3 linked regions of the Kluyveromyces lactis genome follow. The protein of the gene in region 3 interacts with the protein of the main gene of each other region in a biochemical or structural test. Links are inferred from orthologs where the notes say so. Each region holds a gene or a part of one and is shown on either strand. Other genes may lie near its edges.

Region 1 (11,705 bases), on a different chromosome or scaffold from region 3:
TGGGGGTATGAGAAGAACAAGAACGTTAGAGATTTGGTCTATAGGTTTTCCAATAATTATTGGAGAAATGGCCCGGACCACATAGTCGATAAATTAGACTATTCTAGATGCAAATCCGTATCATTCAGAAACATATCCGGAGACAGTCTAACATTATCGCGTGAAACAAGCAACGAGAAAGTCGATACTGATGATTTAACAGAGACGGAAAAGGAAAAGAATAATTTGGTACTATCGTCGTTGTTAGACAACTTTGATTTCGATAAACCGCTAGCCGTTGAAGAAGTGACAGCAGAAGAAGAAGAAGAGAATGCTGGTGCAGATTATGAGTATGAAGGTCTATACAGGGAATCTGACAGCAAACCGTTGTTTTCTTCGAGTATCTCAAAAGAAATTCCACGGGTCAAAGAGGGTGAGTTTTCTAAAACGGAGAATACAACAGCAACGTCATATGTAGAAGATGAAGAAGCTGACAAGGAACAAGACATGGACAGCGAGGAGGATGAATTTATTCCAACCTTTGGCGCTACTCCACAAGTGCCAGATAATTCAACTGAAAATACTACGAATCCTACTGAAGTTCTCAGAGATTTATTGAATCCCCTTGAACCTACATCATTCAAGTTGATTGAGGAATCCGACGAAGACATTGATCATCAGAGAGATGTACAGGAGGAACAAGTGGCATTACCAATACCTGAAGTTATTATTCCACAGAAATCGAATAACCCACTGTTTTTTCTACACAAGGATTCTCCGTTTTTGGTGGGTCAGACTAAGATTGCGAAAATAAAGCCACCTATTGCATTAGATGAAAAGTTCAAAACCTGGGAAGAAACGTTCTGGAATAGCAGAAGTAGTTGGACTAAAGAGATGAAACAAAGGAAGAGAGATGTAGTGAGACAAATCAAAAAAAGAAGGGACAAATATCACGGAAATACCGTACTAATCTAAATTTTGTAGCATTCCAACGTGCCGTGCTTTGAGTTGATTATAAGTGCGTTCAATATAACTTTTCATATAGACAAATATATAATAATACTGCATTTCTAGTTATAACCAAACTTTACAGCCATTTCTACGGCAGCAGCGCCCCAATCTTCACCATGGTTGTGCATAGTCTTTCCTTCATCGATTCCAGCCCTTGCCAACGCTTGCTCTTCAGTCAAGCAAGTTAATAAACCGAAAATGACTGGTGTGTTCAATTTACTAGAAAGACTCATAATAGCATTGGTAGTAGAGTCTGAGATGTACTCAAAATGCATCGTACTGCCTTTGATCAAGACACCGATAGGGATAACAGCATCTAAACGATGACCTTTTTCAAATTCTTTTTGAACAAACCTTTCAACGCCCCATGGTAGTTCAAAAGAACCTGGAACGGATTCAAGAATAATGTTTTCTTCCTTAACACCTAAGGACTGAAGTCTCTTAATGGCACCTTCTACCAAAGCATCGATAATTGTTCTGTTCCAACGAGCGTAAACGATACCAATTCTCAAGTTAGAACCATCATAAACTTGATCCAATTGACCCAAACCTTTAACAGCCATTGCAAAATTTACTAACTGTGATTTGAATGTTTAGATACAACGTATCTACTATCAGATAATATATATCTCTATATGAAATAGGATAAGCTTTATTCTTGTGTAATCGACCTATCTGATCTTAACTTTTAAATATCCATTCGCTTCTGGATTTTCATTTTTTGATCTTTTTCATATATAGATTTGTTACTGACAACCGAAGTGCAGATGTAAGTCATATCTGAACTGGAATAGTATTACGTGGAAAATTATGGCAAATACCGATACTGACGGAGGGAAAACACGATAGAAAATTGACCTCATTAGATCAATTCTAACTTGGGCACCAATCTGTATATTCAGCATCATATTAACCGTCGGATGAATGACATATAACAGTGATTAGGTGAGTGACGATAAAACCTGTAGCAAATGCGGAAGAGTACTTCTAAGTGTAAATATATTATAATACAGTAAATAATAAAAGATCATCTGTTTTTGTTTTCTGGCTAAAATTCGGTTGCATTCTCAATGGTTATGTCTCTTGCATACTGAGAACCTCCTCTAGTGTCCTTCGCAGCTGCAGTATCTTCTTCGGCGTCACCTTTGTCCTCCGCATCGCGAGGAACGTGATTGAGTTGAACGCTTGGGGCATATTTAGTATGCTCTAGATTGCTGAAAATATTAAGTAGCACTTTATCCAAATACTCCGGTGTATTGACGTTATACATATTAGATGGTCTGACATCCAATTTGTAATCAGGGCCATAATATTCGTAGTAATCGTTGTAAGGAAGTTCTTCATCCAAAATCACATTATTCAGAATACCCGTTTCGAAAGCCCATGTACGAGCCACGTTTCGCATTGTATAACCACCACCACCAACAATCATGAGAGGAACACCGAACGATTTCATGTAGTTGACACAGTTTGCGTGACCCTTCATTGAAAGGTTGAAACAACCTAAACGATCGCCGGATAAAGAGTCACCACCGCATTGGAGTACCACGGCAGAAGGTTGGTACCATTCCATAATTTTACCTATGACTGGTTCAAATACCGATTTGTAAGTGGCATCGTCAATACCGTCCCTTAATGGGACATTCACAGCATAGTATTTACCTTTCCCGACACCAGTATCTCTCAATTCACCAGTACCTGGGAAGAATTCCCCATATTTATGGAAAGAACATGTCATAACTCGATCCGTAGTATAAAAAGCTTCTTCTACACCATCACCGTGATGCACATCAATATCAATATAAAGAACACGAGGATGGTACCTTAACAACTCGATGATACCTAGCACTATATCGTTCAAGTAACAGAACCCTGAAGCTTCCGATTTTTTGGCATGATGTAAACCACCAGCATAGTTAATGGCAACATCACATTTGCCTCGGTTTAATCTGGCTGCACCCTCCATAGAACCACCTCCAGATATACTACAGTACTCGTACAAACCATCAAACACAGGACAATCGTCTCCAACGTTGAATTTCACACTCTCCTTTTGGAACATATCTAAATTATCTGGAGTGACTCGAGACAAGAAATCAATATATTCATCGGTATGGAACTGACACATCTCCTGTTTCGTTGCAGGTTTAGCCCTGTAAATTTCCATCTTCTTATACAAACCGTAATTCATAATCAACGAATGTGTCATTCTTATTCTATGTGGTTTCATAGGATGTCCTGCACCATAAGCATAGTTTCCCACATCAGCATCATAAAAGTATGCAACTCGCTTCTTCTCGTTAGCCTTCACCGTTATCGGGTCAAAAGGTTTAGCTTCGTATACCATACCGTCCACGCACAATTAATCTTAATAGTTTCGCTAAGTTGGAGAGCCGGTACAAATTTTTCACCTCTTGTTTATATAGCTTTCTTGGTATGTTTTCGACATAAATCAAGGTTTTAATAGAAATCACTACCTTCATTTTTCACCGTCTCCATCAATATAGAATTTCCAAGCAGCTAAAGAAAGAAGAAAAGCCTTAAAGAGATCTGTCATGTTACACGAGTTGAAGAAGATTAAGAAGTAGACCAACTTTTTACTGACCAGATCATCCTGCATGGATGAGTTAATATATTTGTTATATATGATTTATAATAATATTCGATATGATTACTTATTAACGATCATTGAGATTCGAAACTACTCTTTAATCTCAAGTAATGTCTTAATTCATCCTCAGAAACACTTGGTATTAGATTCTGTTGAGCAAGCTCGAAGTCTTGTAATTTTACCACGACCTTCAAGTCATTCTCGTTTGCCACGTTATCAAACCAATACCTCAATGATATATTCTTTTTATTTTCCATGTTATACTTCTCCCACTTTTCATCAACTTCACCAGCAACTCTAGTCATAGCGTTTAAAAGGGCATCAGAACACAATGCGTAGAAATCTGCACCTGTATAGTTGAACGGACATTTTTTGGCAATATCTAGTATATCGATACCAGATTCTAGTGTGAACTTTCTCGTCAAAGCCTTGATGATATTTGCCTGTTTTTTATCGGTATCTGATATCCCCAAATATAACATCTTGTCAAACCTACCGGGACGTAATAATGCTTCATCAAGAAGATCTGGCCTATTCGTAGCTCCAATTACGAACACTCCGTCTCCTCCTGAACTCATTCCGTCTAGTTCTGCCAAAAGTTGAGACACAATACGATCCATAACACCCCCAGAATCTCCCTGATTTCCTCTCTTTGGTGCCACGGAATCAAGTTCATCGAAAAAAATGACACATGGCTTAGCATCTCTTGCTTTCTGGAAGACACGTCTAACATTTGCCTCGGATTCACCAATGTACATGTTAAGAAGTTCAGGCCCTTTAACACTGAAAAAATTTAAAGAGAAGTTAGACGCAATTGCCTTCGCTAACAAGGTTTTACCAGTCCCAGGAGGTCCATAGAAAAGAATACCACTTCTCTTTTTCATACCAGATGAAAATAGTTCAGGGTGCTTGAGTGGCATATCTATGGTATCCATGATTTCTCCTTTGACCACATCCATCCCACCAATATCATCCCAAGTCACGTTAGGAATTTTAGGAGCTCCGATAGAGTCTGAGAATCTATCTCTTGCAATATTTATGACTGCAGTTATATCGGTCATATCAATTAGAAGGTCGTTCTGCTTTAGACGTTGGTAACATTTGTACTTGACAGCTTTGACGATTGATCGTATATCCATTGGAGTCAAACCAGCCGATTGAACAGATACTGTCTGCAATGGAACATTATGCGATATTAGTGACCTCAGTTTTGGAGTTTGGCTGTTCAAAACATACGGGTCAAAATACCATCGAAACATTTGTAACCTTTGCTTTTCAGTTGGCACTGGTACATCAATTTCAAATTTTATTCTGGACCTAACTATAGCAGGTATGTTGTCAATGTCATTGGTAGACCCCACGAAAACTGTTCCTTTATATTTTGTGGTGTATTCTTCTATTAAGTCTGCCATTTCGACATTCATTTGACGAGCCATTTTGGAGCTTGTATTATCCTGTTGATTTTGTTCATCCTCCAGTATGGTCTCCAAGTGAGATAAAAAAATGACTACTTTCTCAACATATGATATAATAGTCTCGATCTTAGCTCTAATATATCCGATAGTTTTATTGGTAGCGTCGGAGGTATTCGAGTTGGAGGTTAAACTTAAGCAGTCTACATGAATCAAATGAAACCCAAGTTCAGCACAAACAGAGCGTGTTAACATTGTTTTACCGACATTTGGAGATGAAGAATGCAGCATTATACTTGTACCAACGTTAACATTCCTTGCAGAACATTTGATTGCCGTATTTAAAATATCCTTTAACCTTTTGGCAAAGGGAAATGCATCCTCGTCGTAATGGAATAACGGCGAAAGATTATAAAATCTGTCGTAATCACAGATTGATTTGGGCATCAATTCTCTTGAAGTAATTTTGACAGTACTAAGTCTTGTGATAGAGCTGTCTATTATATGATACTCTTCATTTGAGTCACTTTCAATCTCTTCCACTTTGAACCAAACTAAGGTGTCATGCTGGCCAGAACGAATATCATCGGTAAACATCGATGCATAATTGGAGTCGAAAGTAATAGGTATTAAGTCACCTACTTTAACAATGCGCTGTTTTTCACTAAAATATAATGCTAAATGATGGGAAATAATATCTTGGTAGCGTCTCTGGGCATTAATTTGGCAGCCGATTCTAGATAATGTCACAGCATTTGAAACTGAAAATCTATTCAATGCTAGATTAGGCCTCTGTATGATTACTCTGGCATGGTTCATGAATACGTACCTTACCCTGGGGGAGACATATAATGAATCACATTCATATTCGTTGGGAGCGAATAAGACGAAAAGTTGAACCAACATTTCCTGCTCTTCAGCAATCACTCTGACAAATGTTCCGCTTGGGACACCCAACTGAAGAAGAATATTTGGTTGGACAAATGCGAAAAGGTCGTTGTCAGTTGTATCAGGTTGTGGAGGTGACAAAAATTCTACAGGTACCGGATCCAACAATGATTGGATTTTTACATGCAAAGAAAACAAATGATCGAACTCCGTGAACTCATCATTAGACCGCGATTGTTCTACAACATTTGAATCAGGCACCAATACTATTTGTGTCTGGTCCGTAAGTATACCGAAATCATTCGAACTTGAAGTCACTTTACAAAATGCCGGATACACGACCTGATTGACATTTAAAACAGTAATGCCAAACAATAAGTTAAACCTCAAAGTTAAAAATTTCCGTTGCTCTTCTTTTGATAATTGATTTAATTCATTGAAAAGGTCAGGGTTCAATGATAACACTAGGTTGTCCAAGTTAGGTAATTGCTGCACATAAGGTTCAATCTCAATTGAACTGAACATAGGTCTGACCTGAGATTGTTTTATGAAGTTTGTTGGTAGACCAGCTGATCCAAATGGTAGCGAATCGTCATTATCACAATGTGAAATCAGCGCCTGATGGTGCCATTTGTTATACGATGGAAGCGTCAGCTTCACATAATTCGGGCTAGCGCTAGAAACCGATTCAGTACCATAAAATTCGGTCCATAGATCTGAGGATAACACAATGGAAGTAGAGATAGCATGAGTAGACTCCAAAGATGCAATAACCATAGTGAACGACCCCGTTGATCGAGCGTCAGGACCTTGTCTGTTGGGTATTTCTTCAGATTCTCCAATGTGAAAATTGTTGATGATTCACTTGATGTTTTTTCTTGGAGAATCGTTTAATCGTTTAACTAAAAGAATATTTATCTAAGCATTTACATATATATGAAAGCTGGAGCAAGAAATAGAAAAGAAGAAAAAGCCAGGACTGTATGTGTCTAGCAATTAGAAATGCGGAGGATATGCTAAATTTAATCACGTGGTCCTTTTAGTATTACACTATTTGCTAGGAGGTCCCTTGCCTGGTTGATTTTGGAAGCGATAAACGGACTTCCACCTTTATCTGGATGATTCATAATCATCGCTCTTCGATGTTTCTGTCTCAACAACCTTTCATCGAGCGCTTCAATCTCCCGGGCTGAAATGCCCAATATCAGCAATGCTTCGGTCTCTGACATCTTGTCATAAAACCCTCCCGGGTATCTATCTAATTTCGTTAATAGTTCTGGAGATAATCTCGTTCTATATTTTGATCCAAACTGATCCAAATCCTTAAACGGAATATGAATGTTATTAAACTGCGCAATCATCAGTGGTGTCAAGCGACAGTACTTATCCCATGCTCGTAGCCCAGAACGAGCAACCACGGCAATCGTGGTTATTCCAATACCGACAATAATAGGCAAAACCATTGCATGTACCAAGAACGTATAAAAAAAACAGGCACAAGAAAGGAACGGTCTTTAAAAGTAGAATGTTCGTATCCTTCCCTGCAAGTATATCGTGATGTATACAAAAGAATGTGACGGTTAGCTCAATGCAATATCGAAATAAAATGGTCTTATTAAGACTTTTGGAATGTGCTCACCGTCTGATATAACTAAAACGCTTAATTAAAGTGCACACACTCACAGGCACGCATAGTATTTCAGGTTTCCGCAGATTCACTCTAAGATACTTAGCACAGATACTCTGTTCCTGAGCCCCTGACCCCCTGACCCTAGATTCGTTTAACGATTTTTCCTCTCTTGTGCTCAGTATATCAAATCTCATCTCATCTCATTTCTTTCATGAGGAAGTATTTCAGTTTTTGTTCTTTTCCCAGAGTAATAGAATATATCGTTTTTAACCTTCAACAAAAATACCACCCATTCACCACATACCTTCTTTTCTCACTTAAACAATTGAGATTTTCAAAATTCTGCATGCGTAATGCTGGTTGGTTCCCCTAAATTGGGAGACAAAGTACCTTAATGTAGAAATAGCGGTAGATCCTCGAGACAAGTTTTTCATTTTAAGGTTGGATCACTTTTTTTTTTAACAGCTTCTCGCAATATCAGAAACCAGCAATTTTATGATGAGTTGGGATTTGAATGAAATGGAGATTGGTAGCAGCTCTGCATTCATGTGTGATAGATAATGGGGGAATACGGATTTGAGTTTGGTGCCTGCCGGGCATTTGTGTAAAGGAGTTTTTTCTTGAAAATGCTGGGTATGATTGCATTTACTTTCTCTTTGTTAGTATTTTCAATGGTGCTGCCAAATTTGCAATTCCGTAGCACGATTGATCCTGTAAGAACAATGTATGATCTGATTTGACGCAGATCCAAGGCACCGTTGATAGATGGGAAGTGAATTTAGGATTGTGTGATGGGGCCCAGCAATTTTTTACCCATTTTGCAAGCCATTATATTACACAATGGCCCTGTGTACCTGCTTGCTGTTTTGATTGTGATTTATTTATTTATGTTTTGAAGAATCAGGCTTGCTGTATATAAACCAAAGCCAAATGGCAGGAATTTCAGTTGTTATGTTTTATTGTTTCATCACTAAGTTGTCAAATTCTTGTATTCTTGATTCGGTCAACTTAGATCAACCAACTTCCAAACCAATCGCATTCCATTGAAAGACCATACATTAAAACTAAGAATCGATTATGGTTGCTTTAAGATATTTGATCACGGGTGTGTTATTCACTGCCGTCTCTGCTAGGTATAGTAATGATACTTCGGTTGTATCATCATCCATTGCATCAACAATTTCATCGTCGTCTTCACTGTGGTCGGAATCTTCTTCATTATCACAGGTTTCGTCTAGTGACATACCAGTTTTGCCATCTTCCTCAAGTATTGACTACTCTTCGGTAACAGATAACTCTACCACTTCTGATGTGAGCCCTGTGACTTCTTCAGAAATCCCATCGCACACTACGTCTTCAAACAGCTCTTCGGTAACTTTTACTTCCACATCTACTTCGGACATATCAATTAGTACTCCATCAGCGGCTATCGAAACCGTTCAAGTGTTTGATACGCTGAGTCAGTCTCAAATATCAAGCAATCCAAACAATTGGTTTGTCATTAACGTTGACATTTCTGTCACAGCAGGCTTCACTGGTGACTTGTTTTTAACTGTTCCAGATCAATTCAGCAACTTCCCAGAAGGTATTTACGAAGTCCTGGCAGATGAAGACGTTATCGGTTCCGTTTCTCATAATTCTTCTGGTGTATTCAAGGTTAGCTTTGAAGATGTTGCTGAAGATTACTATGGATCTTTCAACTTCTTGACCAAACTGGCAGATAAGCCAAGCGAACCAACCACTGTTGATTACAGTTTCGAAGTTTACTCTGGTCCAACTTTTTCAAGTACTTTGACTTTTGAGACAAAGAGTTACACAGTATCCACCGTTGACACTGGTATTGATGAATTTGGTCGTCCATACTTTGCCGTAGACATACCATACAATGAATATTCAGGGGAATTGGAGTTCACTTCCGTAGCTGAAAGTGACTACGAGTTCGTTGCCTCTTATTTCCAAATTGTTACTGCTGTTGACTCTTTCAAAAACCCAACCGCTGCTTCTAATGTGACTGCTGCTAAGAGCAATTCAGATGAATCCACTATTTCCTACTCCTTCAGCTCTAGCGTATCTGGTGGCCAAGCGTTGCGTATTATTTACTTTTTATCCGCTGACGCTGGTACTACTACTTTGAAGAATGTTGCTCAATTGACTTATCCAAATTTGAGCGTGTACAAGAGAGATATATCGATTATTTTTGAGACTACTGCTTACTTGGAGCCAGTTTCCAACATTGAATTGAGTGGCATCAACTCAATTACTGTTTTGACCAGCAATGTAGACAACAATAACTCCACTTCCACTTCCACTTCCACTTCTATCCCAACTTCTACTATCACTTCAACTAACATTACATCCTCTATGCCAACCGTGACTTCTGTTTCCACATACAGTAACGAATCACTCACATATACTGTTATTACGAGGACACAAGATGGTGAAGTCACTGAAATTACTCAATTGGTTCCTGTGTCAACCCTATCATCCTCTTCTACATCATCCGCTTCATTTGAAAACACTACTTCGACTGCAAGGACATCCTCTGCCAGCAGTGACAATTCTCATTCTAAATCTTTGACCTCTTCCTCTGCCTCAAGCGAAGAGACTTCTGCGACACTCAGTAAAGACTCTGATTCCAAATTCGAGACTTCTTCTACTTCAACTGAAGAACCCACTTCGTCCAGAAGTAAAGATTCTCAATCTACATCTTTGACTTCTTCTTTCGCTCCAGTTGAAGAAACCTCCTCAAGCAAAAGTAGAGAAACCAGTTCCAAATTAACTTCGAACTCTTCTGAAGATGTTCCATCGTCATACGCTACTGTTGTTACTGAAACGGTCCATGGCAGAACTTCGACATATACATCATGGGTTTCCAGTTGTACAGCATGCCAAAAAACTGATACACTAGAAACTACCTCCCATACTGAAACCGCGATCCGTACTAATACTCCATCTACTGAAATAACCAATTTCCAAACCTTTACGAGCTTGGAAAGTAGAACTTTAAGCGGTGAAGAGACAGAAATTGGTTCGTTTGTGCCAGTTACAACTTTAGCGACAGATGTCGGAGATGCTGCAGAGAAAACTCAAACCTCTTTAAGAACATCCACCAGAGGTGAAGAGGTTTCAACCCTTCTACAATTCTTGGGTGCTTCTACATCATCTGCTGAACAAACACAAGCCGTAGTATCGCAATATTCCGGCTTTGCTAACCGTGTCGAATACGGCTTCGGAAGTCTATTCATTGCTATTTTGGCAATTATAATATGATTTCTTTAGTCTGCCCTTTTTTCATTGGTAGAAGCATTTAATGACTTATTTTGACTTATTTTAGCATCCTTCGTTAGTATTTTATACAGTTGTAACAATCATGATATTTAGTTTTTGGATTTAAAACTCATCTTATTTAAATACACTAAGTGGGTCCTTCTCATGGCTCTTTAAAGTGATTCCTTATCATCATGAGCTTACGCCCGATAGTGAAATTCTGGACGTAAAAAGAATAACTTGATTCATTAGATGTGTTCTATCGACGGTCTTAGAGTTAGTCTCGTAATCAAACGTTGCTGCAAGTTCACGCTTTCGCGATATATTCTATATGTATCACTCTGAACCGGAAAAAACAAACCTTGATTTGCATATGGATCAAATGGATCATCAGCTCTTACCTGGATTGGTAAAAGTAATTCCGCCCAACTGGCACCCATCACGCAATTGAAATTTGCAGACCTAGATCCCAAATCAAAAACATTGTCAACTGATCCCATATTGCAATTAATACTATCTCCATATATTTCTAGATCATGTCTGATATTACCCCATTCGTACTGCTCTATAGTAGTCTCATTTTTAGTGACAAGCCATATTGTGTAGGTGGTAAATGCAAAAGTGGCTATTGCGGCAATGACGCTAAGTACCCATACAACCAGTAGATGGAGGTCCAATAATTCTGATTTATATTTCATCTGTCTGAACCAGCTGTACAATTGAGCAGACGTCATCAGTAGAACATATAAAGAGTATACTGTAGTATATGCTAGGAACTGGACAAAGAATTTTTGGTTCCTGAATCCGACACAAGAAGCGAACCAAGGACAATGATGATCCATTTTTAAGAAGCATTTATTACACTTTGAGCAATGATGACATCTATCAGGTTTCCAGATCTCACACG
Region 2 (10,718 bases), on a different chromosome or scaffold from region 3:
GATTTTCGTCCGCCATTTTAAGCGTTCTTGGTGGTTCTTTAATTGGTGGTGGGTTTGTTGCATATGCTCTAGGCTCTCAGTTCGAGAAGGAAAAGTCCGTGAGTGATTTGTCCATTGCTAGATTGGAAGACCTTGATTCTCCCGAGTACTGTGATAAGGAAACTTTTGCTAAAGCTCTTGTTGAATTGAAAGATGTCTTAGAAAACGATCCTGAAAACTTCACTGTGGCTAAGGACGATTTGGATGCTCATTCGGATACCTATTTCAACTCTCATCATGCTGAAGCTAATCAAAGACCAGAAATTGTTTTGTATCCACGCAACACAGAAGATGTTTCCAAATTATTGAAAATCTGTCACAAATACTCTATCCCAGTGATCCCATTTTCAGGTGGTACCTCTTTGGAAGGGCATTTCCTACCAACTAGACCAGGGTCTTGTGTCGTCTTGGATATTTCAAAATATTTGAATAAGATTATTCAATTGAATAAAGAGGATTTGGATGTTGTGGTACAAGGTGGTGTTCCATGGGAAGAATTGAACGAATATTTGAACGATCATGGTTTGTTGTTCGGTTGTGACCCTGGTCCAGGTGCTCAAATCGCCGGTTGCATTGCTAATTCTTGTTCTGGTACCAACGCTTATCGTTATGGTACCATGAAGGAAAACGTTGTTAATATTACTATGTGTATGGCTGATGGTACTATTGTTAAGACCAAGAGAAGACCTAGAAAATCGTCTGCTGGTTACAATTTGAACGGGTTAATTATTGGTAGTGAAGGTACTTTGGGTATCGTTACTGAAGCTACTATTAAATGTCATGTTAGATCTACTTTTGAAACTGTCGCTGTCGTTCCGTTCCCAACTGTCAGTGATGCTGCATCTTGTTCCTCTCATTTGATTCAAGCCGGTATTCAATTGAATGCTATGGAATTGTTGGATGATAACATGATGAAAATCATCAACCAAAGTGGTGCTACTTCAAAGGATAACTGGGTCGAATCTCCAACTTTGTTCTTCAAGATTGGTGGTAGATCTGAACAGATTATTCAAGAAGTCATTAAAGAAGTGGAAAAAATTGCTTCTCAACACAACAATACCAAATTTGAATTTGCTACTGATGAAGATTCCAAGCTAGAACTATGGGAAGCTAGAAAAGTTGCTCTTTGGTCAACCATTGATACCGGCAGAAAGACCAACCCAGATGCCAACATTTGGACAACCGATGTTGCTGTTCCAATCTCGAAATTCGCAGATGTTATTAATGCTACCAAGGAAGAAATGAACGCATCTGGTTTATTAACCTCTTTGGTTGGTCATGCTGGTGATGGTAACTTCCATGCATTCATCATCTACAACACTGAACAAAGAAAAACAGCTGAAACTATTGTTGAAAATATGGTCAAGAGAGCCATTGATGCTGAAGGTACTTGTACCGGTGAACACGGTGTCGGTATCGGTAAGAGAGACTACTTGTTGGAAGAAGTTGGTGAAGACACTGTTGCAGTTATGAGAAAGTTGAAGCTCGCTTTGGATCCTAAGAGAATCTTGAATCCAGATAAGATCTTCAAGATTGATCCAAACGATCATCAACATTAATCTGACCCTCGGTTCTATCATTAATGAATGAATGACGCTAATGAAAATGGTAATACTAACTAATGTTATACCAGATACGACGACGAACTCTTCCCTAAAAACAACAAAAATAGACTATAAGGTAAATTCCCTGTAATTATTACGCTCAATCCATACAAACTGCCAGTCATTATTGTTAATCATATTCAAAATAAAACACCATAACTTTGGTATTTAAGAGCAGCACTACTAGTCATCATTAACCTCACGTTCCTCTACATCAAAGGTGCAAATGGACTGTCTGATCAAAAACTGACGCAAGTCAGAAATTAGGTTCGGCAAGATTTATAGCCGCAATGTACTCATACGTAAGAAACTAGAAAACTCTATAAAGCCTAAAAAAACCTGAGATATAAACATTAACCAAGTTAAGAACCAGCACATTTCTAATCATGTGACTAACGAGTTAGATGAGATCCGATTCATTGTTCACCATTCATTATATTATTCACTGAACTTTCTGCGGATTGTCTAAAACGACAACATAGTAACACAAATTCATTCTTACAAGTTTCATAGACTATTCCGATGGATAAGTTGACAACCGTCCTGAATGTCTTTCAAAGTGAGACTCTCCACCTTCTGCAGCAAAGTGATTGCTCTATTTCTGTTCTTTTTTCCTGCTCTGTATGTCTGTCTTTCTCAAACGCAAAATGTTGATAGCAAAAAAAAACGATACTACACGGTGTTTGACGACAGTTTGCTAATTGAAGATGCTAAGAAAATATACGCACATATACATGGCAGTATTCGTGGCAGTTAATATTCTCTGTGGGATTCAATCTGTACTGGTATTTGTGGGATAGGATCCCCAGACTCAGGGAGGGTTTGAATGTGTACTTGATATAGGTTATGTAATATTATCAGCAATCGGATCATAATGATGAGACCCCGATGATTAAATGGATCGATGTCCTTGGGCATTTCATGGAGGTTCAAATTGCGTCAACTCATAATGCTGCTCAGAAAGAATCTGTCGAGTTCTATTAGGGATGGAATACGTATTTCTGCTACAAAAGCAAGTTACCATCTCTCCAGTACTATTGTCGATAGATATTGTACCATTTAGTAGCAAACCTTAACATGTTGAAAAACAGATGATACAAATCCAGATATATGATACATACTAGTATGTATATATATATAGGGCATGGTCGAAAGAATAATGCCTCTTCTAGGATTAGACACCTTTAAATACACCATTATCAAATTCAGATACGAATCAATCAAGCCCGTGATCGATTAACGCAACGAGAGAGCAACACTACTATACCCACATATTCCTATTTTCAAAATGATGATTTCAAAGACTATTTACAGAGGTTCCAGAGTCCCAGCTGCCTCTAGATTATTCACAAATTCTCCTATGGCTCGTTCTATTCACAATTCTAACATTGATTCTAAAGGTATCAAAGAAACTTTAGAAGACGTTAACAAGAAAGTTGGTAAAGCTGCAGCTGAAGGTATTGAGAAGACCGAAGAAGCAACTCATCACTTGGGTGAAAATTTCCAAAATGTTGAAGAAAAAGTGAAAGGGATATTCAATATGACAGGGCAGGATGCCAAGGAAGCTGCTGACACGGCTTCAAACAAGGCCAGCGATCTTGCAGAGAAAGGTAAGGAACACGCCCAAGCCAAAGGTAGAGAGGCTGCTGCCAAGGGTAAGGAAGCCGCTGCCAAGGGTAAAGAAAAACTGGAAAATGCTGCTGACAAACTAAACGAATAAAAATAAGGAATGAGATGATGATAAAGTCCGGAATGTCGATGTCCTCTTTTCCCAATAAACCAAATTACCTGATCCTTTAAGCAGCAGGGTGACAATAAACGCCCTTGTGCTAATATTCTAGCATTCCAAATGCCGTATCTGGGGTTCGAGCAATGGAATAATAAATGTGTAGTAACCACAAATACATATATAACGTGAAACAAGAGAAAAATACAACGTAATTCTTCTTAATACTTAGTCTGAAACTTTCTGAAGCTATCACATCTTTAACTTAGCATTTGTGACCCGCCATATTCAATTCTTGTCCATCACCATGTAATCACTGTTGATTCTGTAATAGATGGTCTACCGAGGTTGAATCCGCCAGTTCTTCAGAAGTATTCGATTTCTCAGATTCAACAGGTACGCCATTTTTCCTTTTCTTAATCAACTCAAGATAGTTGTATGGAACGTACCCAATATTTCCTTGTTTTGTTCTGACTTTCCACCATTCAGAGTTATTTCCTAGTGGATCTTTCTTGGAAATGATTGCCATTAGATCTCCTTTCTTTAAGTTACATTCAATTCTTGGATTCTCAGGAACGAAATCATAGATCGCTCTTGCAAATTCTAGGTTATTAGGATCTAAGATTTGTTGTGCCATAGCGCCGCCAGCTATTTTGGCTTTTTGGTGCTGTTGTAATTTCTGAATAAATTTGTTCAAAAGGTACGGGAAGCCGAACACAGCTGCTAAAAACACAATCAATGGTTTCCATGAAATTCTTCTACCCTTTTTCTTCGTCAGATCTGAGTCCCTGAATTCTTCGATAAATTGTTTTGAAAGATCTGAGCCCTGGCTCTTTCCGCCCTCTATCCCTAAGCGCTTTTTGGAAGGCGCTACTCCCATCTTACCACCTGTAACTCTGTACAAGATCTTTTTTACGAATTTTATCAAGGCAAATATACCAAAGAATGATCCCAAAAGCTCCTTCATATATTGAAACTGTTCCGCAACGGTTATCATAGTGAAAAAAGAGTTATGGGTAGCCATATATGTAGCTTCTAACATCTGGGCGAAACCAGCAACGGCTCCTATAAGCCCTTCTATTAACTGGAAAGTTGCCTGTGTTGACTCTGCAATCCCCGAGGGTCCTCCATTCATACCGTTCATACCGTTCATCCCATACATTGATCCGAACCCTCCCCCATACATCGACCCTAAACCACCGCCGTACATCGACCCTAAACCACCACCATACATAGAGCCATAACCACCTCCGTACATGGATCCATATCCACCACCCATGGAACCCATTCCATATCCTGTACCTAAACCTCCACCATACGCCGAACCATATCCAGACATACCATTTCGAAGAGGGTTTCCCCCGTTCAAAGAATCCATACCCTCATTTAAACCGTTCGGTTTGGATGGTAAGTCAGGCTGATTACCAGATGGTTGCAACGCACTGCTATTCTCAGTAAAACTGGCATCAGTTCCTAAACTCTCAACTCCATTTTTCTGCTCCCAGGGCTTCGGTCTGGAAACACCTGCCGATTGTGACATGACTACTGATGCTCTAATAAATATGAACTTCGATCACAGCACTTAATAGAAGCCAAAACCGCTACAATCGATGTGTATTCATCACTGTCGTTACCTGTATTTAAGCTCCACGACATGATTCAATGTTACTTTTAGAATCATCGTCAATCTTTGAAATATGCTTTGGCCGGGTAACAAGTTACTATTTCCTGCGTCGTGACTTAAAGACAATAGTAGATATCGTCTTTTCATCAGCAATAGACGATATCTTTTCCACGAAGAACCGTTGGATACTTGAATGAAAATCCTTATTTCCTTCTTTTAAATATTTTGTATTTAAATTGGTTCCGAATGACACGCATATTATGTATATATGTATCCTTGTTATTATTGAAAGAATGTATAAAAGTTCGAAATGAAGCAGCTGCAATGTGAGTTGAATGTATCTACTACAAAGCTTTATCAGCAGCATTGGATAGTTGTAAATATTGAATCGAAAATGTTGTCCGTATTATGCTTGAAAAAAATTTGTAATTATCTTATGAAAAGTCCTTCTTGTGTTTGCTTTCTTCTAAAGAAGTTAATTGTATGCGTAAATTGAAACCATGCTGTAGTCTCGTTGGATTAATACTCCCCGATAATACCTCGCCTTCGTCACAATCTAATGTCGTAGTACTGTTATGAGCGGTAGTGTTGTCGGGATCGCTGATATGTAAACTAGATTCATCTGGCTTACTCTCCGATTTGGATTCAGCCAGCGCGTCGAGTTGTTCAACTGTTAAGTACTTTACCCTGTTTTTCCTTGGGCTCAGTCTGGATTCCAAAGCCTTCTGAATTCTTCTGCATTTAGCTAATTCTTTCTCTAGCTCTTTTATCTTTCCTTCAACAGCGATCTTTACTAGTGCATCTGATTTGAATGGTGGTTTATTCGATATATTCTCCCGTGACCTGTCTGAATTGTGAATTATGAAGTCTGTATTTGATATTCTTGGTAATTGTTGTATATGCTGTAATAACGAGCTGCTTTGGAAGGTCAAGGACTCATTTGCTCTCGTTAAACTATTGTTGATATCTTTTAAATTCTCGTTATCCAAATGCAATTTATCGTTATCCAGTTTCAACTCATCAATCTTCAGTTGAAGTTTCTTGATTGTCAGATCTAGTCTTTCTTTGTCGAAATGATGATCGTCAGGATATTGGAAATCATCTTTATTATTCAGCCACAGCTGTTCGTCATTCATGAAATTTGATAGTATACTATTTCTTTTGTTATTGACAGCCCCATTGTTATCATTTAATCCATTTTGTACCTCCTCATCAGCTAGCATTTGAAGTTCAAGATCAAGTGTTACAGTCGGTGAACTTGAAGTATATGAATCTGAGGATGGGAACCTATCACCTATTTTTGGAGGTTCTAGCTCAACGTATTTTGTGGTATTACTTAACTGGGATGTACTAGACATTCCTCTTCTATGCCCAAGAGCAGGTTTGCCATTGGACCCACGATTTAAGTTATCATTTCCATTGGCATTCATTTTTGTGCCAACTATTGGAACATTTTTTATCACTTGATTACTGTTGTTGTTCTTCAAAAGGTATTCTTTCTTGTACATCTTAGGCGGTTGCACTTTCACAGGACCAGGTATTGGAGATATCCTAATTGGAGAAGTAGATCTTAGCATTGATGAAATAGGAGTGGGATTGGTATCTCCTCCAATTGAGTTCGACCTAGACCTAGACCTTGGACCTATCGGTATCACGTTTGCCATACTATTATTGTAATCCAGTTGCTTGTCCATAATTTTTGACAAAGATGTCCTAAGTCGTTTGGGGTAGGCACCGTTATCGTCTAGATAAATCGATGAGCCATGAGCAATCATTGTATCATCAATGCCACCTCCGAGCATCTTCTTTTTGTTTCTGTTTTATATTGGATGAAGTTTGCACTCCCGTACGCTATTGTGCCTATCTCTAATTTGCGGTTTACTGTGCTCTAAGTTAGACCTCTAGAGGTAAACTTTGCAAAAAGCTTCTTGTTAAGAGAAATTTTACAGTAGGGGATACTCTTTTTGTCTCTTTATTCCAACCCTAAATGAATCTCAACTTGTTTTGCTGAATGATGTTATGAAAGGCTGATGCTCCACTGACACAAGGGTTCGACTATAAAGCTAGCAAGTATTCGGTGCTTTCCTCACTTTGTCAAGTTTCAAATACCCTTTACCTTCCCCAACAGAATATTAACGGAATGTAACTTCGCACAAAACTCCTTTTCCAACAACGCAGGTGCTCTCTTTGAGAAAAGGAAGTGCCTTTTGTCGACCAGTTTTCCTCTCTTACCAGTAGGATGTCAAAACTCTCCGCCAAGAGACTTTACGAGTGATTTCGATGAAGGCAGAGAATAACTAAACTTAAGAAAATCACCTCGTATAACAATAGTTGAAATACTTTTGTTAAGCTCAAAGAAAAAAATCCTTAAAATGGGTAGGATCCAAAACTCACAACTTCATCTACCCTCTTTCTCTTCCGTTTGTGGGAACTGTGTTACCGAATCCGACTGCTCATCGCTTTCGACATGTTTAAGTAAAGAAAACAGACAATGTTTACAAATTACCCTTTTAGGACATAACGTTACTAAAATCAGCAGATCGGCTAAGAAGTATAGACAGGTCGGATAAGTCAAGGTATAAAATGCCGGGGTTCGAGTCTTGAGTGGGAACTGACTTTCAATGGGATCTTGTTTCAAGAACTTTATGAAAGTATATAGATATCTATATATATATATATATGGGACTGAAATATTACTAGTATATCAGAGGTATTAATGTACAATGGTTTTTACCGGAAAGAATTGAAAGTCGCATCTACTAGTACTCTTGGTATAATTAAATATAATCTGTTCGTTTGTTACTATCCTAGTACTTCAAAAACTTCTGGTAAACCATATTGTCAGTTTCATCTTGATATTTATATCCTAGATCGTCCAAGAACTTTTGGAAGATTTCGTTGTCTTGTGGAGGCACACTGATACCAGCCAAAATTTTCCCAATATCAGCGCCATGGTTTCTGTAATGGAATAAAGTCAAGTTCCAGGAAACGTTCAATCCTGATAAGAATTTAGTTAGTGCACCTGGTCTCTCTGGGAATTCGAATGCAATGACTTTCTCATTTTCAATTTTAGAAGCACCACCGACCAAATATCTACCGTGAGACTTGGCCATTTCGTTGTCAGAGATATCTACGGCTTCGAAACCTAAAGCATGCAATTGTTGAACCACTTGCTTGATTTCCTTTTCACGGTCAACGACGTTAAAAGATGTGTAGATACAAGCGGTTGGTACATCGGAGTCATTTTCGTGACAATGCTCGTTATAACGGTATGAGAATTCAGTGACAGCTCTTGGATGGATCACATTCTGTAGCTTCTTGAAAGAACCTGGAGTATCTGGAATGGTGACCAACATAAACACTTCTTTACCTTCACCCAATACAGCACGTTCTGAGACGAATCTTAAACGGTCGAAATTCATGTTGGCACCGGAAAGAATTGGAACGTATGTCTTCTTAGAATGGTCTATTTCAGGGTGTAGTTGAGAGACATATTTTTTCAAACCGGCAACAGCAAGAGCACCACTTGGTTCGACAATTGATCTTGTGTCCTCAAACACATCTTTAACGGCAGCACAGATTTCATCGGTGTTCACCAAGATAACTTCATCGACTACGTCTTGACAAACACGGAATGTTTCTTCACCGATTAACCTCACAGAGGTACCATCAGCGAACGTTCCAACACTTGGCAATGGGGTACGTTTACCGTTCTTTAATGAAACATCTAACGTAGCGGCATCGTAAGTTTCCACACCAATAACCTTGATATGAGGTGCGATTCTCTTCAAGTATGAACCAATACCTGAAATCAAACCACCACCACCTACGGCACAGAACACTGCTCCGATGTTAGACCCATTTTGTACTTGTCTTAGAATCTCCATGGCAATAGTACCTTGACCAGCGATAACGTAAGGATGATCAAATGGTGGAATATCTGTCATACCACGTTCTTCAGCTAACCTCGCACATTCCAATTTGGCTTCATCGAAGTCGTCACCGTATAGAACCACTTGGGCACCTAATCTCGACACGTTTTGATATTTGATTGATGGTGTTGAAACAGGCATCACAATGGTAGCTGGAATGTTCATATGATTACTTGAAAAGGCAACACCTTGTGCGTGATTACCAGCAGAGCACGCAATAACACCAGCATTCTTCTGTGTTTCGTCTAGCTTGGCAATCATGTTATAAGCACCACGCAGCTTGAAGGAAAACACTGGCAACAAATCCTCTCTTTTCAATTTAACGTTAGTGTTTAGTCTAGAGGACAATGACACCGCACGTGAAATGGGGGTCTCTTCAATGACTTCATAAACAGAAGACCTTAAAATTAAACGCACGTAGTCTGGAGATCCATCTTCCAATCGTTCGTCAGCCTTCAAATGGGAGTACATCCTCTGCAAATTATCAGAGAACTGGTCCGTGCTAACACAGCGAACAGAAAGTTTTAATGCATTTGAAGCACGAAGAACTCTAGGAGTTCTCACTATAGATTGTAGCATCACAAAATTAGCTCACTATAGGGGCGGTATACCAGATTACTGGATGAACTGGTTTGATACCCTTTCAATGCAAATCATCCCACATACACCAATGGTCTTGCAAATGACTCTATTTTTCTATTTAATACCAAAGATCTGTTTAGGCCATTTTTTCACGGTGAAAAGATTCAGTACTATCTATGTTGATCACGTGGACCCATAAAATGAACATCCAAGATACGTATGCCTGTCGCTACTTTACGAGTTTTGATGCTGCTAAAGGAGTCTAGTTGAATATCCATTAACAGACTATTAGATCGAATTAAACAATAGCTTACGCTTTGTGTGATTGTATTGTTCTTTCAGCAGTTTTAGCTCTTTTTGACATTACTCAATATCTCCAGAATTGTATTGTGATCTGAAGAGAAATTTAGCTATAAGATGAGCTGCATGATATTTACAATCAAAACAGCCACAATATATACAGCGTCATTATAACTTAGCATTGATTTGATGTAGTATTGTATCACTACAAGGCTATAGACAACTGAGCGGTTCCAGTCACTCATCCGTTTACTATGCTATTTAGGAGGTTCTTGTTCACTCCGAGCAAGATAACGAATGATATTTTACAACTACCAACACATGAACTTTTACAACAATTAGGTTACGTTAAGCAAGCCTCATCTGGGGTATTGCACTGGCTACCCTTGGGGCTTAAGACTTTGAGAAATATTGAGGGAATAATTAGACGCCGTATGGACGAAAGTGGGGCACATGAAGTCTCATTATCCTCGCTGTCACAACGGTCTCTTTGGGAAACGACTGGCAGATGGTCTAATACTGAATTGTTCAAACTTAAGGATGCGAAAAAGAAGGATTACTGTCTTGTACCAACTTGTGAGGAAGAAATTACGTGGCTGATGAACAGTTATCTAACCAGCTATAAAGATCTACCAATAATAGCTTATCAAATCACAAGAAAGTATAGAGACGAGCTAAGGCCAAGAGGTGGACTATTGCGTGGACGTGAATTCTTGATGAAAGATGCATACAGTTTCCATTTGAATTCAGAAGATGCTGTCTCCACATTTGAGCGAGTTAATGCGACTTATGATAAAATATTCACTGACATTGGTGTTCCTTTTGTAAGTGCTGTTGCTGACTCAGGTGATATTGGAGGTGATCTATCGAAGGAGTATCACTTCATTCACGAATCTGGAGAAGATACTTTG
Region 3 (10,854 bases):
CCTTAACAATTTCATCGAATGCAGCACGGTATTCTTCTTCCTTAGCCTTAGCATCTTTCTTCTTGTTAGAGCCTGGAACGATGAATACAACAGAAGTAGGTCTCTTGGTGGCACCAGCAGAACCTAGATCTTGCTTCGAGGGCACAAAGATATATGGAACAGATTGGTCTTCACACAAAACTGGCAAGTGAGAAATAACATCTTGTGGGAAAATATCACCAGCAATGACTACTAACCCTTTATCACCCTTTCTCAAAGCCTTGACAACCTCTTTGACACCTCTTTTGACATTCTTAGCCTTGGAAGCCTTCTTGACGGTCTTTAACACCTTTTTGTTCAGTTTCTTTGATGCTAGAGGTTTTGCAAATGGTAGAACGGCAGGAAGTCTAGCTTCGTAGTTGTCTTCTGTTGATACACTCTTATCCTTGGCCATCTTTGTTATTATGTATAGTTCTTCACTGTTCCCCTGGTTCAAATAGAGCGAGCAATTGATTGAGAAAGGAATCAATATCACATCAGCAAGATAGGTTCATCGATTCATTCAACAGTTCAATTCTCATACTCATCGCTCTTCTTTTTGTTAACAAAAAATGAAAATTTTCCAGTACCGAGTAACATGAAAAAGAAATAAAGTATCAATTACAGTAGGGACGACATAAATTAATCCATGCGACACATAAACAACTTTTCAGAATATCGTGCCAGCGTCTTGTTTCGGAGGTGGTACATAGCAGTTGTAGAAATGTCCATCGCCTAACATTATTCTGGATGAGTCCCTTTAATTTCATACAAAACTTGGAGTTTTAAATGGCGAACAATATGTACAATGATTAAACTCTGTAGGAGAAATTAGCTGTTCCAGGTGCAGGGCATTATTGTCCTGTGATCACTTCACTTGTATAATTAAATACTTTAAAAGGTTTAAATACTCCATATACCTCTTAATGTCAGGCAATGTAGTCTTAGTAAACCTTGAAGTTTGGTTATAGCATCATTGAAAATTACAACACACAAGTAACTTCTCTCGGTAGCCAAGTTGGTTTAAGGCGCCAGACTGTAATTTGAAAACACAAAGCAATTTGTAATCTGGAGATCGGGCGTTCGACTCGCCCCCGGGAGACTTATCTTTTTTTCGTTTCCATTTTGTTTTTGATCATGATCGTTTTCACTAAAGAAAAGTTCCAACCTTGAAGTTTATTGAAAACACTTTGGCCTGCGATGAGATGAACATGGAAGATGTGTGCTCGACAAGATACAGTTTTCACCGTTATAATACGGTATCTGTTGTTGCATAAATTGGACGGTTCAAACTGTTTGCTTGTTCGAGGTCATTAAAGAATACTTGGTTTGGCAAATTGCCAAATATTAAGGTCATCGTCATCAATATATTATGACTGGGGATTGGAAGAACCGACCAGCAAGGGTTCAGTTACAGGAGTCTGACCTACCTTCATCAGTACCGCCTCAGACGGGTTTGGCTTTCAACGTATGGTACAACAAATGGTCACAGGGGCAAAGTGGGTCCACTAGGTTCGTCACACCGTACTCGCTTGATCCCGAGAACGATTCTGGTATCACTAAAGGTGATAAAGAGGGTCGGATTCATTTCTGTTTGTATTTCGCTAAGGGAATGTGCTGTTTAGGCAAAAATTGTCGGTACTTGCATCATATTCCAGAGCCAGATGATTTTGCGAGGTTAGCTTTGCATTCCTCTGCGTTAGATTGTTTTGGAAGAGAGAAATTTGCTGATTATAGAGATGATATGGGTGGGGTAGGTTCCTTCAAGAAACCTAACCGTGTCTTATACGTGGGTGGTATTACAGGGGCACTCAACAACAAAACTTTGAAACCACATCAGATTGAGAATAGAGTGAAATACAAGTTCGGGAAACTTGGAGAATTGGATTCTGTTCGATACGTGGAGAGTAAGAATTGTGCCTTTGTCAAGTTCAAATTACAGTGTAACTCCGAATTTACTAAGGAAGCAATGGGCAATCAGACTCTATTAATACCAACCGATAAAGAGTGGGATCTAAGGAAGGAGGGAACTGGGTTGCTTGTGAAATGGGCGAACGAGGATCCTAATCCAGCTGTACGAAAGAGAGAATTGGAAGAACAAACCCAAGAGACTTTGAAAGCTATAAAACAACTAGTGGCTAGTACTGAAGGCACTGTAAATCAAAAACGTAAAGTTGAAGAAATCAACGAAGTGAGAGATTCGCAGGCGAACAGTCGTGAAAGATTCAGCATTAGGGAGAATGCAATCATAGATAAGACTATTTTAGATAAGTTGAAACAAAGGAAAGTGACTATTACCAATACCAACGTTGCTGCAAATATAACAGTTTCAAAACCATCGTCGGTTTTACCTTTGGTAACCCAATATTCATCTGATGAAGACTAGATTTCGTGAAGTCATGTGACACATTGACTTTTCCAGATTAGGTATATTTTGGATTACTGGTTGCCGTCATGAACAACATCTAGCGGATTTCAGATTTGTTTTACTGACATTGCAAATATTTGAAATGAATATAAAAGCTATCAATGCCTGGTTTTCAAATTATGTCGAAGTTGTTTTGTCGAGTTCACTTACTTGAACTTCGTCAGTCTACGGTTTGGCCTTCATCAAAAAACACGATAATTTTGAATCAGACATCCGAAAAAATGGAAGACAAGGCACAGGCTCAAACAAGAACGCATGAATCGTCAGACCATTGGGTATTTCCAGGATTGACCTGGAATCCTAAATGCATTATTAGCTAGCACACTGTAACTATTTACGTTAAATACTCTAATTCATATTGCATGACTCTAAAATTTCAAGGAAAAAAGTCTAGTCCTTTCATATAATAATTGGTTTGTATGAAGATTTGTCAACATTGTATTTCGACATAGCTTCTTTTGAGATGTAATTTTCTCCGGTGAAGTCGTTCTTTTTGACATAATCGAACAATTTAGCCATGGCAGAATGATCTTCCTCCTCGGTTAGAAAAGTAAGTGCAGTACCAGTTTTACCAGCACGTCCAGTTCTACCTACACGATGCACAAAGCTGTCAAACGACTTAGGAAATTGTAGATTCACTACTAAAGAAACGTTAGGTATATCGATACCTCTTCCAGCGACATCAGTAGCTATGAGAATATCTACTTTCCCATTTCTCAAAAGACTTAAAGAGTGTTCACGTTGTTCCTGTGATTTTGAGCCGTGAAGAGTTGTTGCTCGGAACCGAGCCTCTCTAAGTTTGTCGAATAACCAGTCAGCTGTTCTTTTGTAATTTATGAATATTATGATAGGAGCCTTGTAATTTGGTAGGAAATCTTTTACAAGTATCTTAAGTTTTTCTTCTTCATCTGGAACATACCGTACTATTTGTTTAATTTTTGGTTTAGATTCTTCTCCTCCAACCGTGACATAGCTTGGCTTTTTCAAATAGCCATTAGCAACTTTTTCTATGGTAGGTGAGAATGTAGCCGTAAACATCATTGTTTGTCTATTGGAAATTGTTTCTGTCTTTGCTAAAATTGTAGTCAACTGATCTTCAAAACCGAAATCTATCATCTTGTCCGCTTCATCCAACACTAACGTATTTACTTGCTTTAAAAATAAAAGATGAGAATCTAGACAATCAAGTAACCTTCCGGGTGTAGCAACCAATATATCACATCCATCTCTTAGGTTTGCTGAAATTTCTTCCAAGGAATGTCCACCAACAATACTTACGATATTGCAAGGTCGTTTCCATAGTTTCGTAATTGATTGCCCCTCATGTTGTATTTGCTGTGCCAATTCTCTTGTTGGTGCTAATACTAATGCCAAAGGACCATCATGTTTAGTAATTGAATTAAGTGGCGGTATACCGTGAAGTTTTATAAGAATTGGAAGCAAAAATGCAAGTGTCTTACCAGAACCAGTACTAGCAACACCAATGAAGTCTCTATTGTTTATAACATTCGGTATTGTACTGCGCTGAATGGATGTTGGCTCGTTGTAGTGCAAATCATTTGTAATAATGTTTAACAAATCTTCCGGAATTAACTTTAATTCGTGCCAGTTTCTTAGAGGTTTCTCTACTGTTCCACCTTTACTCGAGATATTAAAGTCTTCAGATAGAATCCTCCAATCCCTAGTGCTCATCTCTTCATATTTCTTTTCAGACCAATGCTTCCCCAAGTAATTGTCGACAATACTTTCATCTTCATTTTGTCGTTTCTTCAAAAGGTCGGCGGATTTTCTTGCTAGGAATAGTAAATCATCTGGTTCATTAGATACTTGTTCCTCGTATAGTTCGTCTTCGTCGAGATTCCTATAATTATCTTTCCTCTTGATAACGGTGTGTGACAATGCCTTTGACGCTTCTTCTTCTTCTGGTTGTGGAAATGTTCGTTTCTTGATCAGAAACCGAGGTTTCTTCGCAGGAACTGTGTCTGATATTAAGTCATCAATACTGACGGGCCTTAGCATGGTAAAGTGTGATACTTTCTACCCATCTTTACAATCGTGTAATATTGCAATACCTTTGAGAAATGAGATGAGCTCCACCGTCTTAAAGCTTAAAGAACTTAAAGGCACAGTTTCTGATATTGTCGCCACGAATAACCTAATACGGTATATGTCCGGGTAATAACATCGCCCCAAACCTGTTCCGAAAAATCATGGCGATAATCTCAATCAATCTCTGGAGCTTTGAAAAACTCCAGAGATTGATGAATCATGATTTAAACAAACTAACCGAACACTTTCATGACATTGCCAAGGTTGAATTCATATATAACTGGATTCATCAACATATCAAATCTACATACTTTCTACGCAGAACTTGTCATTGTGTTCATTTGTTTGAGCTAGTAGCTTTATTATCAATCATCAAGGGAGCTAAAAGGGTTTACTAAGCATAGACTAAGGGAGCTCATCAAGGGAGGTGGTAGAGTTTAAAAACAAGAAAATATCCCATCTCATTTGACATAATACAATTATGAGTGCAGATTGTTCCGTTGGATCAAATCCTCTCGCGCAGTTGAATAAACATGCCCAGCAGAATCCTGCTCTGAGACAAGTGGGGTATCAAAATCCGGCCAGTAATGTTGCTCAAAACTTCAAAACTCATGTGAATGAAGTATCCAATGCAAATCGTTTTCAAATGGACCAGTTTATGAACAGGTCACCTGGTTTTTCTGATGGTCAGTTGGGAATGGCGCCTGTTCCTAGTGCTATTCTTTCGCATGGTCCTCGTTTTGGACTAAAGAAACAAGATAGTGGAAGCAGTAATATGTCAGCAGGCGATACAGCTCAGCATTCCAGGAGCTGGGGTAATGAATTTAATAGCAGATCTCCTCAACAGGGTTTAGCCAGCAGAGTCAATAATGTTGAAAGAATAAGCAACACAAATTCTATGAGTTCATACAGGCCTGGCATGTCCCGGATCGGGAGGCCGATGATGCATACAGGTATTTCTTCATTACATAATTATTCTCACATGTCTCAGCAAACACCGCAAATGTCCAGTGATGATGGTGTTCTCGCTGACAAGCAGTGGAATGAGCAGTTTGAAGCCTTGGAGAAGGCTGTGGCTGAAAATTTGACCATGGAGGACAATAAAGAGGAAACCAAGGAGGAGATAGTAGTGGAGGATGGATATCAAGCAGACTTCCAAGAAGTCTGGGATAAGTTACAAGCGGAGACGGCTGATAATAATTTGGAAACAAGTGATTCTCAATGGGAGAAAGATTACGCTCGCTATATGACTGGTAAAGCAACACATATTCCACCTTACAGATTTGATAATGATAACCAATACATGCATAATCCAAATGCCTATGAAATTGGATGTATCCTAATGGAAAATGGGGCGAAGCTAAGTGAAGCTGCATTGGCTTTCGAAGCTGCTGTGCAAGAAGACCCCGCGCATGTAGATGCATGGTTAAAGCTTGGATTGGTTCAAACACAAAACGAAAAAGAAATGAATGGTATTAGTGCGCTTGAGCAATGTTTAAGCCTAGACCCCACTAATCAGCAGGCACTCATGACAATTTCTATCAGTTATATTAATGAGGGATATGATCTGACCGCTTTCAGCATGCTCAACAGATGGCTAGATAGTAAGTACCCTGAGTTAACACGCTCCCCTACCATTGATGAGGCCAATATCGATAGGTTTAATTTGAGCAAACAAGTAATCACGAAGTATTTGCAAGTAGCTAACGCCTTGCCTCAGGTGGATCCAGAAGTTCAGCTCGGTTTGGGAACGCTTTTCTATGCCAATGAAGAGTTTGGTAAGACAATTGACTGTTTCCGCACCGCATTAGAAGTCAATCCAAATGACGAATTAATGTGGAACCGTTTGGGAGCCTCTTTGGCCAATTCAAACCGTAGCGAAGAAGCTATCCAGGCATACCACAAGGCCCTTGCCTTGAAACCGTCTTTTGTGAGAGCTCGTTATAACTTGGCCATTTCGTCAATGAATATTGGCTGTTATAAAGAGGCTGCAGAGTCTCTGCTCTCTGCTCTATCTATGCATGAAGTAGAGAATGTTCCAATTACTGGATCAGTCGTGCAATCTAACAATATTCTGGAGACCTTAAAGCGTTCCTTTGTCGCCATGGATAGGAGAGATTTGCTAGAAAAAGTCATGCCGGGCATGGATCTACAGCAATTTCGTAATGAGTTTAACTTCTGATAATGCAACGCAGCGAATAGTCTTTGTTTGATAGGACCATCCTCATATTCATAATGAATTGATCTTTCACCAAGTTTTGCGGAAAAATACATTCGCATAATTAATTACAAGCATTTAGTCGCATATATGTAGTCGTCATTCGATTGTATTCCTCAACGAATAGTGCAGAGGTCCATGCTCACGATCAGTGTACCAGTCAAAGTGTTATGGTAAGCTGTCGCGGTATCTAGAGACAGATTGCGATTCTATCATTTCTACCGGGTAACATTTTCTTGTTTTGGATTTCTTCATTTTAAAGCGAGTTGCAAGAATTTGAAGTAATGTCAACAGAGTAAAAATATATGTTCTCTATAGATAAACTCCAGAGTAGTACAAAACAATCATTTACTGGTTGTTGTTTGTGTATCTAAGTGATTTCGTTAGTACTTCAATACGTTAAGGAAATATAGTGTGACTGCTTGGAGCAGAAAATACTATTGATCGCGTTTTGCTGTTTTTCTGAGGCATCCAACTTGATCCGATTTATTGTATATTGTACGTGAACGAGAGACCAGTCAGAAAATCTAGATAGGATCAATGACTTCGAGTACACCTTATGAGTACTCATACGAATTGGATGAGAAAAAGCCATTAAATTTGGATTCCAATTACGTGTCGTCATTTTCAAAATATAAGAGGTACGTCCTATGGCTGTTTTCCATACTTTTCATATTATTTTGGTTAAGTGATTTCTCACTTGTTGCAGCTGAACCCAAGGTGGTGATAATTGTTGCTGTCAATAGTGGTGGCGGTGGTGTTTTAAAGTGGAAATCGGAACAAGAATGGGCTATCGAGCGTATTTCTATCGAAAACAAACGTGCATACGCCAAAAGACATGGTTACGGATTGGTCATTAAAGATCAGGCACTATCAAAGAGATACTCCCATGAATACAGAGAGGGCTGGCAAAAGGTTGATATAATGAAACAGACTATGAGGGAATTCCCCAATGCTGAATGGTTTTGGTGGTTAGACGTGGAAACTCTTATCATGGAGCCCCAACTTTCTTTGGAAGAACATATCTTCGATAGACTAGATGAAATCGCAAACAAGACTTTGGAAGCTTTCAATCCTTTGCATATAGCTACCGATGTGGCATATGTTGACTATTCACAACCGTCAGATATGTTAATTACACAGGACTGTGGTGGTTTTAATTTGGGTTCTTTCCTAATGAGAAACACTGAATGGACTGAGCTTCTTCTCGATATATGGTGGGACCCAGTCGGATATGAACAAAAACATATGGTCTGGGAACATCGTGAACAAGACGCTTTAGAAGCATTGTATGCTAACGAACCTTGGATTAGAGAGAAGATCGCATTTCTACCACTAAGGCAGATCAATGCTTTCCCACCAGGTGCTTGTGCAGATTTCAAGTATGACTTGCGCTATTTCTATAACGAAAAGGAACATGACTTCGTTGTCAATATGGCTGGGTGTAACTTTGGTAGAGACTGCTGGGGTGAAATGCGCCAATACACTCAACTGATGCAAACTCTTCACCGTAGATGGTACTCGATGTTCTTTTAGATTCTCAATTTCCTTTTGTTTATCACTTCAGTTGTATTTCAAAAATTATGCACTGCTCCATTGTACTAATACTGTAAAATAAAAGGCGAAGGTACAAGAAGATCTTCGATAGAGTATCCCCTTTTATACTTTAATGCTTTCCCTTTCAACACCATTCTTCGTTGCCTTTCAAAGTCATTGTTTGAATATCGCATATTTAATACGTCTTTAATTTCAATTTTTATCGTGAACATTCATTGTACAAACTTCGATGCAAGAGTAATTGTAAACTTTTATTTACTCTGTATTGAATGAACTACTGTACATAATGGGGGTGATTGCTAAAAAATACAAGAATTGTCTTTATAACGGATTTAAATTAATCAAATGTAATCTTTTTTGGTTTCTTTGATAGGTCCACATCCTTGAAGAATGCACCGTACGCACTATGTTCCTTCTTCTTTGTGTGAGTACCGAACTTCTTGAGCTCCTCAGGAACAGGTTGACCAGCACCATTTAAGACATTAACAAGGGCACCTGCAAGATGCTTTTCTTGCTCAGTGAACAATGTGTGTGCGGTACCGTATTGACCAGCACGACCGGTTCTACCAATTCTGTGAACGTAATCTTCTACTGTTAGAGGGAAAGTCAAATTGATAACGGTTTTCACGTTTGGGATGTCTAAACCTCTGGCTGCCACATCAGTAGCTAAAAGTAAGTTACATTTTCCTGCTTTGAATTCATTCAAAGCTTGAGTTCTTTGCTGTTGAGAAAGATCACCGTGAATGGCAGCAACATCGTAACCGTTGTATTTCAAGTTTCTTTCAACACGAGAGGCTTCCTTTTTGTACAAGGCAAATATCAAAACTTTGTCGTTCTTTGTTGGGCCTGAATGGTACTTCTTCAACAGTTCCAACAGTTTTTTTTCCTTTCTGAACGGATCCACAACTTCCACGATCTGAGTAATTCTTTTGTTTGCTGACAGTTCATCTCTGTTACCAATAGACACTTTAACCGGTTCACTCATGAAACTTGAAGCAAGTTCACGAACTTCTTTTGGCCATGTCGCGGTAAACATCAACGTTTGTCTAGAGGTGGATCTTGTTTGTCTAATGATTTTTTTGATATCTTCCTCAAAACCTTTTTCCAACATTCTGTCAGCTTCATCCAAGACCAGGTAGTTAACATGACTCAAATCAACAGAGCCTTCCTCTATTAGATCCAACAGTCTACCTGGAGTAGCAACAACGACTTGGGATCTCCTCAGATCTTCTCTTTGCTGATCCTTTGGAACACCACCGTATACGCAACAAGATCTTAAACCACACGCGTCAGTAAGAACAATCAAATTATCGTAAATTTGAGAGGCCAATTCTCTAGTTGGTGAGATAACAAGTACCTTGACGGAACTTGACTTGTCTCCTGATGTGACAATGTTGTTGATAGCTGGAACACCGAAAGCAAAAGTCTTACCCGAACCAGTTTCAGCGATACCGATAACATCCTTACCAGCTAATAGATATGGCCAGGAAACAGCTTGAATTGGAGTTGGTTTTGGGAACTTAGAAATTTCCTTTTGAATCTGATCAATAAACGACACTTGGGAAAAGTCTAAATATGGTACAATATTGGAACCTGATGGGTCGCTAACTGTAACCTCATTTTCCTTCAAAAATTCATCAATATCAGATTGAGAGGCAGAAGCAGCAAAGCTTTCAGTTTCTGATTTCTTATCCTTTTTCTCCTTCTTTTCTTTCTTCTCCTTCTTATCCTTCTTGTCTTTCTTGTCTTTCTTGTCTTTCTTGTCTTTCTTGTCCTTCTTCAATTTTTTCTTACTCTTCAACTCCTCATCTTCCACCTTTCTCTTCTTGTCCTTTAATTCATCTTTTGACATTCTGGACTATTTGCTTGAGCTCTAATGGTTAAGTATCACTACTACTGCAGATTCTGCAATCATATCATTCGAAAGCACTTAAGTCATCTCATCTCATCTCAGCTTTGTTATATAAAATTTTCAATAATCAAAAAACATTTCTTTTTACTGACGCCAGCTGAATTACAACAAGAGACAAATATATAATTAATATAGCAACGGAGGATCCGTATAATTGATAATATATTCTCAATTAATTCCGATACAGCAGTACCTCAGTTCGTATATATCTAGTAACAATAATTCAAAAGACAATGCAAGTATTATATTTAGTAGGTATATTAAACAGGTGAATAAACGTTAAAAAAGACAAGAAACGAAATGCGATAGGAAGCAGTGTTTATCATTTAGCATCATAAGCATGGAAAGCTTCAGTTGTTACTGACTCCTGATTGCTATCGGTGTTTTCATCTTCTCTGATATAGAAAACTTTCTTTGCCTTAAATTGCCAGAATCCTAAGTAGAATAATAGGAACCCAACAATGACGACTGATGCATAATTCATGTTATCTTTTGTCACTGGCATGACAGCTGGGAAACAGAAAAAGACTAAAGCGAAAAGATTCCAACCCAATAAAACGATATTGGAGAACGCTCCGAATTTTCCTAGCCAAAATGGGCCATGTTTAATATTACGTTTACGCGCCAACAGACATACGACCGGAACACTGTATGAGAACAATAAGAACGCAA

The links.
Region 1: the proteins of PEX5 (region 3) and PEX6 form a complex in vitro, tested with the Saccharomyces cerevisiae proteins (2 studies listed by BioGRID). The link is inferred for Kluyveromyces lactis from reciprocal best matches to the Saccharomyces cerevisiae genes PEX5 and PEX6.
Region 2: the proteins of PEX5 (region 3) and PEX13 form a complex in vitro, tested with the Saccharomyces cerevisiae proteins (4 studies listed by BioGRID, with this or other methods). The link is inferred for Kluyveromyces lactis from reciprocal best matches to the Saccharomyces cerevisiae genes PEX5 and PEX13.

The regions. Positions count from the first base shown.
Region 1 is NC_006041.1:184,139-195,843, forward strand, and holds PEX6 (AAA family ATPase peroxin 6), read right to left. Parts: upstream 6,679-11,705; coding exon 3,676-6,678; downstream 1-3,675. Other genes in the region: NOP8 (Nop8p), read left to right, coding at 1-954; lumazine synthase RIB4, read right to left, coding at 1,050-1,553; histone deacetylase RPD3, read right to left, coding at 2,039-3,337; MDJ2 (Mdj2p), read right to left, coding at 6,924-7,364; EGT2 (Egt2p), read left to right, coding at 8,609-10,801; palmitoyltransferase PFA3, read right to left, coding at 11,047-11,705. UniProt on the Saccharomyces cerevisiae protein: Component of the PEX1-PEX6 AAA ATPase complex, a protein dislocase complex that mediates the ATP-dependent extraction of the PEX5 receptor from peroxisomal membranes, an essential step for PEX5 recycling.
Region 2 is NC_006041.1:1,753,000-1,763,717, forward strand, and holds PEX13 (peroxin PEX13), read right to left. Parts: upstream 4,910-10,718; coding exon 3,683-4,909; downstream 1-3,682. Other genes in the region: DLD1 (D-lactate dehydrogenase), read left to right, coding at 1-1,598; KLLA0_E19713g (uncharacterized protein), read left to right, coding at 2,932-3,363; MMR1 (Mmr1p), read right to left, coding at 5,428-6,795; threonine ammonia-lyase ILV1, read right to left, coding at 7,801-9,504; putative proline--tRNA ligase AIM10, read left to right, coding at 10,062-10,718. UniProt on the Saccharomyces cerevisiae protein: Component of the PEX13-PEX14 docking complex, a translocon channel that specifically mediates the import of peroxisomal cargo proteins bound to PEX5 or PEX21 receptors.
Region 3 is NC_006039.1:1,336,594-1,347,447, forward strand, and holds PEX5 (Pex5p), read left to right. Parts: upstream 1-4,976; coding exon 4,977-6,677; downstream 6,678-10,854. Other genes in the region: snoRNA-binding protein NHP2, read right to left, coding at 1-433; active spliceosome conformation promoter CWC2, read left to right, coding at 1,391-2,404; mRNA splicing protein PRP28, read right to left, coding at 2,846-4,465; MNN10 (alpha-1,6-mannosyltransferase), read left to right, coding at 7,254-8,249; RNA-dependent ATPase DBP3, read right to left, coding at 8,608-10,122; HNM1 (Hnm1p), read right to left, coding at 10,505-10,854. UniProt on the Saccharomyces cerevisiae protein: Receptor that mediates peroxisomal import of proteins containing a C-terminal PTS1-type tripeptide peroxisomal targeting signal (SKL-type).